Neurospora crassa OR74A: one gene and its partner. The protein of the gene in region 1 interacts with the protein of each later gene in a biochemical or structural test. Links are inferred from orthologs where the notes say so. Each region holds a gene or a part of one and is shown in the gene's direction. Other genes may lie near its edges. The genes, in order: NCU02558 and mak-1.

The links.
Region 2: of the proteins of NCU02558 (region 1) and mak-1, one has a biochemical effect on the other in vitro, tested with the Saccharomyces cerevisiae proteins (2 studies listed by BioGRID). The link is inferred for Neurospora crassa OR74A from reciprocal best matches to the Saccharomyces cerevisiae genes RLM1 and SLT2.

Annotation. Positions count from the first base shown.
Region 1 is NC_026501.1:2,730,047-2,733,963, forward strand, and holds the start of NCU02558 (MADS-box MEF2 type transcription factor), read left to right. Parts: upstream 1-1,149; 5' UTR 1,150-1,808; coding exon 1,809-1,864; intron 1,865-1,929; coding exon 1,930-2,086; intron 2,087-2,151; coding exon 2,152-3,819; 3' UTR 3,820-3,917. UniProt on the Saccharomyces cerevisiae protein: May function as a transcription factor downstream of MPK1 that is subject to activation by the MPK1 mitogen-activated protein kinase pathway. Binds to the DNA sequence 5'-CTA[TA](4)TAG-3'. At least some RML1 target genes are involved in cell wall biosynthesis.
Region 2 is NC_026505.1:5,920,267-5,924,183, forward strand, and holds the start of mak-1 (mitogen-activated protein kinase MKC1), read left to right. Parts: upstream 1-906; 5' UTR 907-1,574; coding exon 1,575-1,687; intron 1,688-1,810; coding exon 1,811-1,943; intron 1,944-2,013; coding exon 2,014-2,080; intron 2,081-2,145; coding exon 2,146-2,460; intron 2,461-2,521; coding exon 2,522-3,135; 3' UTR 3,136-3,917. UniProt on the Saccharomyces cerevisiae protein: Serine/threonine protein kinase involved in a signal transduction pathway that plays a role in yeast cell morphogenesis and cell growth.

The DNA of each region.
Region 1 (3,917 bases):
GCTATGGCCAAACGCACATGTGCTACAACGCGCTGAGAATTGGTTAGCAGAAGGCAAAAGGAGACATATACTTGTTGAAATCAACACTGCTGGCAAAGCAATTCGTTCGTTTCATTATCAATGGTGAGCCGGGATGGTTGAATGGGTGATATCAGATCGTTCCGGCAAATTAGTGCAGGCTTTTGATCGACATCCATGTTGCGGAGCGAGGTTAGCTCGAGGTTAGTCAATTCATCAAGCAACGAAATATGTCGTACCCTATCCCCCCTCGTTGCATGTCATTGAACCCTGGTTACACCGACAGTGAAAGACGCACGCAATCTTTTGGAACGACTCCGAGCAGACATTGCGAGGGGGCGTTCTACTGGGAGGTTAAAAGGCTTAGTTTTGTGCACGTGAGGGGCGTTTCGGGGGGTAAAACGAAGGAATGCTTTCACAAACGCTCTATGTTTCATCCGCAACGAAACAATCGGCTTCTTAATCGATCTTCGTACTACAACCCAAACCTTGCATTCTTGTGTCTTCCCCAGGAATTGACCAAGTCGAAAGGCGTCCTTTGTTGTCCTGAAAATCCAAGCCTAGGTAAATGCGGCTCGATTTTCCACGGGGACGGGCTAGTCTAAACTCTGTTTACTGTGCATCGGATGTTTGTCACAGCCTCACAGTGTCCCTGAAGCGTGAAGCGAGATGGCGTCGGCTGGCTGACGGAAGGGTGTCAACCAGTTGCGGGGTGTTTTGGGCTTTCACGTTCGTCCTCTCGTCCAAACTTCCGGCGCAAATACAGGCCAGAGTAGGACGTGCCAGATGGGCAGAAGAACGAAAACCAACGCAATGGACCCTGTCGGGGATGAGAGATGAAGGAGAGCCTTGTCCGCCAAGACCTGACTCGTGTGTCCCTCGACTTCCTTCGTTGTGATTGCCCGCAGTTGATGTAGGTGTCCCTTGGGTGGTGTGGTATCCACCTCGCTCCGGCTGCTACAGTACCTAGTGTACACTACATAGGTAAGCACCGTGGCACCCACGCTCCACGGCAGGGCACCCAAGGGACCGGACCCTCCACCCCCCTCCACAACCTACGGTAGTGGCTTGAATGGGTAGCCCGTCCGTCAGTTCATCCCCAGCCGAACTGTGTGTTAGGAGGTACTAGTGCAGCGGTGCCCCAGGCCCTGGGCTCTCCCCCCTTCGCGCACTCCCGTCGCTCGTCTGTCCTCTTTCCCCCAACTTGCGTGTGAACGTGAAGAAGACGATCTATTATTAGCATCATCAAGCCAGCCTCATCTGCATCGACCGGCGCCGCAAGGTACTGCAGTACTACAACGTCTTCGAACATCCTTTGCATTGCTAGATATTTTATATCCAGATACCGGCTGCCGACGAAGAGCTGGCGACCTTGCCGGTGGTGTTGACGACTTCACTCTTCTAGCAGACGTCCTCCCCGAATCCTCCATTAGCAGCACATCCAGCTTCTGCATCAATTTCGTTGTCCTTGGCCATCGATAGGCCTTTGCTTGTTCTTTCACTGCAAGCGTCGACATAGTGCCAGTCGCATATATATGCCAATCGTGCCTCCACAGCATCATCGGATCGAATCACTCCCGTTCCGACCCGAGGACCGCATACTCGGCGCTGTCAACTACAAACATCCGACGACATCCCGACTTCCCAACGCGTTGTCTCACCACTCACACGTTGCTGTTTTGTCGAATCCATCGTGTTGATAACTGATACAGAATTCCACTTCCGTGGCCCCGATAAAATCACACCTGTATTGATCTGATCGCAGTGCTCTGCACATACACCTCGCCAAGATGGGCAGGAGGAAGATAGAAATCAAGGCCATTAAGGATGACAGGAATCGCTCTGTGTAAGCGTTCAACCTCGGTGGAAAATGCTCCATTGTAGCTGGTACTGATGCTCCGGAACACACAGAACATTCTTGAAGCGCAAAGGGGGGTTGTTCAAGAAAGCCCATGAGCTTTCCGTCCTGTGCTCTGTCGACGTTGCCGTTATTATCTTTGGCAACAACAAAAAGCTGTACGAATATTCATCCAGTAATATTCGCGATATATTACAACGATATACCTACGTAAGCAGACCCCAAGAAGATTGTTTTTTTTCGACATCAAGTACTTACCATGATACACCGTACAGCACGGAGGACCTAATGAGCACAAAGGCCCTTCCGATTTCAATGGTGGCGCCGACGACGATGACGACGATGACGAGAATGGGACTAATTCGCAAGGGGAACAACATATGATGTACCAACCAAACCCGCCAGTTTCATACCCCTTTCTCCGGCACACAAGTCTGTCGGACTCACCCCCAGTACCAAACGGCGCGTTCGGGCCCCAGCCGGGACATCAAATGAGCCGCGCCCATACTCCCCAGCCGCCCTTCGTCGCTCGGCCACCATCTGTCAACGATATCCGAAGGCTGAGGCCCGGGCAGCCGGTTCGTCCTGCGGGAGTCGCCCAGGAACTTCAAAATAGGAGCGCCTTTGTGCCATCGCCTCCCATCTACAACTCACAACCACCTGCTTCCATGGCGCCTACTCACGGTCTTCCCACACAGCTGCATCCCCAGTATCCCTTCCAGCCGTCTCAACCACCTGCTCATTCCATGCAACAGTTCGAGGACCAGAGAAGATCGCCTCTTCCTCCGACTTTTGTGTCTCAACCACCACCACATCCAGCACATCGCCATTCTACGTCCCCGCCTGAACTTCTCCAACCGCAGATCCCGCAGCAACAAGTACATCGCCATTCTGCCTCTCCTCAAGTTCACCAAGCCCAGCTTCCACAGCAGCCGCAGCGGCTACCGAGCGCAAATATGTCGCCTCCTCCGCCACAGCCAGCTCAACCGCCTCAGCAGCAGCAGCAGCAGCACCGTCACCAGCAGCAACAACCTCAGTCTATGCCTAATCAAAACCTTCAACCTCCTGCACCGCCAAAGCCAGAATCTATGGAGAGACCACGCCGGCTGATCCCCGCGCTGAATACGTCGGTCAAGAACCCTGGGCAGGGCAGTGTTTTTACGCCAATCGAACCAGAGAACAAGTCTATTCTGTCACAGCATTTTGCCGCGTTCCGTCCAGAAATCAAGTCCGAGTCGCCGAACAATCGGTCGCAGTCTGTCGATGGCGGTAACGTATCTAAGCCTAATACCTCTACACCATCTATCCAGCTCTCCAGTGCACATGGCCAGGGGTCAGCTCAAAGAACGAATTCATTGACGGTAATCTCACAATCGACGCTTCCTCCGCCATCCCGGCCCCAACACCTACGTGTGGGAGGTGGACCACTGCGACCGCGGCTTAAGGTGCAGATTCCGGACGACTCGGATAGCGGAAGCGCTGCTGGATCGGCAAGTTCTCCTCGTGTTACAACCACAACGGACTCCGCTCCACAACCGCTAAAGACCGGCTCTGTACTTCCACCACCGTCACCATCGGCCTCCAATCTACCTTCTGCGGGTGCCACAGGACCACCTAATCCCTTTGCCCCTCGATCAACAATTCAGCACAACAACAATATGAACATTGACACTCCCGTTTCTGCTCTCCCATCTCGATTTCTGGGCGATCTGCTGCCTAGTCCCAGCAGATTCTATCCTGAATGGGGATATGGCATCAGCGCGGAGAGCAACACGCTTCCTAGTCCATTGAACTTTGCTACACCTGTTAATGGAACCGGGCCATCGTTCTTGAGAGACGATCCCACTCCACTGAAGAGGAAGAGCCCCGAGACGAAAAGTACTGGGCCCGAGAATGACACTGGGAACAATCAAGATGCTAAACGGATGCGGCTCGAATCTTAGGTCGACCCCGTCATCTCTTTCTTCACTTTCTGTTCCTGAATACTTATTGTAACAAAATAATACTCTTAGCATGGTATAGCGGCGTTCGTGATTGACTT
Region 2 (3,917 bases), on another chromosome or scaffold:
ATCAAACTTTATGATTTTCCACCTCGTTTAAGCAGCAAGCAACGATCCGTAAACAATGCGTTCCCCCTTCGAACTCATCGAGATGATGGTAGTGATGATTGCGAATCTTTTAGACGCCGGCCAGTGGGGAGGCGGCCGTAGTCGCGCGCCAAAACCAAAAATGGCCGCCGGAGGAGGGTTGCAAATCACAGCGGGGACGCAGCGGGTGGGGTAGAATCAGGTACCGTTCCCTTGTGATTTCCGCTGTGGAGTGACTTTGCAGTAACATTTGTTGACTGGGCAAGGGGAGACCGCCGCCCAAAACAGGCGCCCCCAAGCCAGGCGATCCCTCTGTTTGAATTCTCGGTGTGTTTTTGTTTTGTTTCAAGGCGGCAAGCATTATGGTAATGGCCTTGTTCTGTTTCGACGGGGGGGTGGTTTTTTATGGCTTTATAGTTGTTAATGCGATGCTCACGGGCCTAGATTTCATTGCATTCAAGGATGAGAGAGGCCGCCATTGTAAGCAATGGAAACTACCTAAGTCTTGGACGAGTTAAACGTTCAGCAATGAGTAGGTACTTAGTACCCCTGGGCAATGATGGATGGGAAAGTGGAAAGAAGGACAGGAAAAGAGGCAACCAGCGACAAGCCTGAAAACGGCCATCATTCGTCAGGAACCGACAAGCCGCCATTCGTCAGTCACGTTGGTTTGTTGCACTTTTGCGCCCGCTGACATTGGCGGGCTCTTGGGAATGGAAGCGGACCCCGCGTTGCCTCACAGACAGCCCCTCGCTCAGGTCCCGTTCTGGTGCCGGGATCAGCGCAGTGGTCGGTCGCATGGTCGGGGTCCCTCGGCGCCCCTCTTTCCTCTCCTCACCATTCCAGTGTCCGCTTCGAGCCCAGGGGACCTAGGTAGCCACTGCACCATTGAGGTCCACGGCCAAGCAGGTCCTTGACTTCGCTAAACACGAGCTTCTCTTCAAGCTCTCCCCTCGTCACTGCTCGTTTTCCACTTTCAATGATATCCATCGTCGGTTTAAACAACCTAAGCTGCTCGAATCCCGTCTCCATTGCTTCTCTTAAAATACGCCAACCGTAAACTAGCAATCAATAGCACCAAGTTGAAGCCAAAGCGCAAGCTCAGCTCCGGCCCAGTCAGCAAATTGCCCGAGTAGGTGGCACACATATATCCCATCACGCACTAGACTACAGTATCCCAGGGGCTTCCGACTCTTCAGTAGTGTACTTGTGCCAAGGACCACCCTACCCTCTGCAAACCTCATTTGATCATCACCACTTTTTTCCTCTTTCTTTCTTTCTCTCCATCTCTGCCTGGCTTCAATGCTACATTAGCCGGTTGTCTATTGCCTTGCTCCCGCCTTTTCAATCTACATCTTACTTTTGTCCCGTATACTCTTCCTCGACACTTCTCAAATACCCCCGTCCGAACTTCTCAAGACATTGATCGCGCTTGAGCTTACATACCCCACGACACCACCTCCAGGCCGTTGCCAAACTTGCGCCTAAAGGTCACCCGAACCACCTCTCTCTCCAACTACGAACCGTCCCCGAAACACCACACAGACACATTCGCCATGGCTGATCTCGTGGGTCGCAAGATCTTCAAGGTCTTCAATCAGGACTTTATTGTCGACGAGCGCTACACCGTCACCAAGGAGCTCGGTCAGGGAGCTTATGGCATTGTCTGGTACGTCCACCTGCTCCTGCTCCCGTTCCTGCTTAGCCGCTTGTGCTTTTGGGCCGCGGCGCATCTACATGTGTCATGCCATATTCTCATGATTCAAGCTGACCTCCCTTTCCTCCTAAACAGCGCCGCCGTAAACACCCAGACGAACGAGGGAGTCGCCATCAAAAAGGTCACCAATGTCTTCAGCAAAAAGATCCTAGCCAAGCGCGCCTTGCGCGAGATCAAGCTCCTCCAACACTTCAGGGGCCACCGTAACGTAGGTTGCTCACATACACATATTACAATCGATGCATGGTAGCTGACCGTGGCGATTTCTGGTTCTTTAGATTACCTGCCTCTACGATATGGACATTCCCCGGCCAGAGATGTTCAACGAGACCTATCTCTACGAGGGTACGTCATGGCTCATGCCTCACGAGAAGATGGGCCTACATACTAACCTGGGGGTTCTTTTGCAGAGTTGATGGAGTGCGATCTTGCTGCTATCATTAGGTCCGGTCAGCCACTTACAGACGCCCACTTCCAGTCCTTCATCTACCAGATTCTTTGCGGTCTCAAGTACATCCACTCGGCAAACGTTCTGCACCGTGATCTCAAGCCCGGTAACCTGCTGGTTAATGCCGACTGCGAGCTCAAGATCTGCGACTTTGGTCTTGCGCGTGGTTTCTCCGTCGACCCCGAGGAGAACGCAGGTTACATGACGGAGTACGTTGCCACGAGATGGTATCGTGCTCCTGAAATCATGTTGTCCTTCCAGAACTATACCAAAGCCAGTATGTCTTTTCCTCAAGCTGCCCCCTTGATATCGTTTTCAGGCTAACACTCATTCCTTAGTTGATGTATGGTCCGTTGGCTGTATCCTTGCCGAGCTTCTCGGTGGCCGCCCATTCTTCAAGGGCAGAGATTACGTCGATCAGCTGAACCAGATCCTGCACATCCTCGGCACACCGAATGAGGAGACCCTCTCCCGTATCGGCTCTCCTAGAGCTCAGGAATACGTCCGCAACCTGCCTCCCATGCCCAAGAAGTCCTTCCAGCAGCTCTTCCCCCAGGCCAACCCCGACGCCCTCGATCTCCTCGACCGCATGCTCGCCTTCGACCCTACCAGCCGTATCAGCGTTGAGGATGCTCTCAAGCACCCCTACCTTGCCATCTGGCACGATGCCAGCGACGAGCCCGACTGCCCTACCCCCTTCAACTTCGACTTTGAGGTTGTCGATGATGTCGGCGAGATGCGCAAGATGATTCTCGATGAAGTCTTCAGGTTCAGACAGCTTGTGCGCACCGTGCCCGGTGGTCAAGGACAGGGCGGTGCTCAACCCCAGGCTCCCGCTCAGGTGCCCATGCCTACTGATGTGCACAGCCAACAATGGACTGCTGAAGATCCTAGGCCACATGAGTATGGCGCGTACAACGGTGGCCTGGAGGCCGAGCTTGGTGGCATGTAAGCAATGACGGAAGGATGAAACCTTTCTATATACGATAATGAGAACGAAACGCTGGTTCGGCAAGCATCTGATGCTCAAACACATCTTGGGTTGATGCCTTGGCTGCAAAAAACAGAAAAGACGACGACATAGTATTATCGTGTTGGAAACCCCCCGAGAAGGGAACGGCTCGCCATTGAGGCGGTCTTCAATGACAGAGTGGGACAGCAGTTCTGGTCGGGCTGTCAACAGTCAGCCCTAGGAAGGCACTTGGAAAAGCAGGCGTCAGAGGCAGACCGGGAGTTCTTTTCGATGTCTGGCCAGATACCAGAGGGTGGTGAGTGGCTCACCGGAGAGACTCTTTCTGTATCTCATTCTATTCTCCTAGTCAGGAGGGAGGACTATGACTAAGTGGAAAGTTGAAGCGATCTTCAGCGAGGACTTTGGAGCGAGATGTTTACGTTGTCATTTATAGTCATAATTCTATTGGATACGCTGAATGTTGACACTGCAATAAAGCTCTTGATCGTGGTGGCGTCGTCCAGAAGAGTCCATGGTCACGCAATAAGCCTGGCATTTGGAATGGCTTTTACTGATTCTCCTAAGGTATCTATCTCGAGGTATCTAGTCCCAACCCCTTATTTTATGTGACCGTATGTATACTTTTGTGAGCCCAGATTAGTACAAAAAGCCAAAAAAGAATGTTTGAACGCCGACGCCATGCAGGGCTTGATATCAAGAAAAAACCATGATACCTAACCGAACCAAACCGAACCAACACATCCGGGATCCTTTACCCTCTC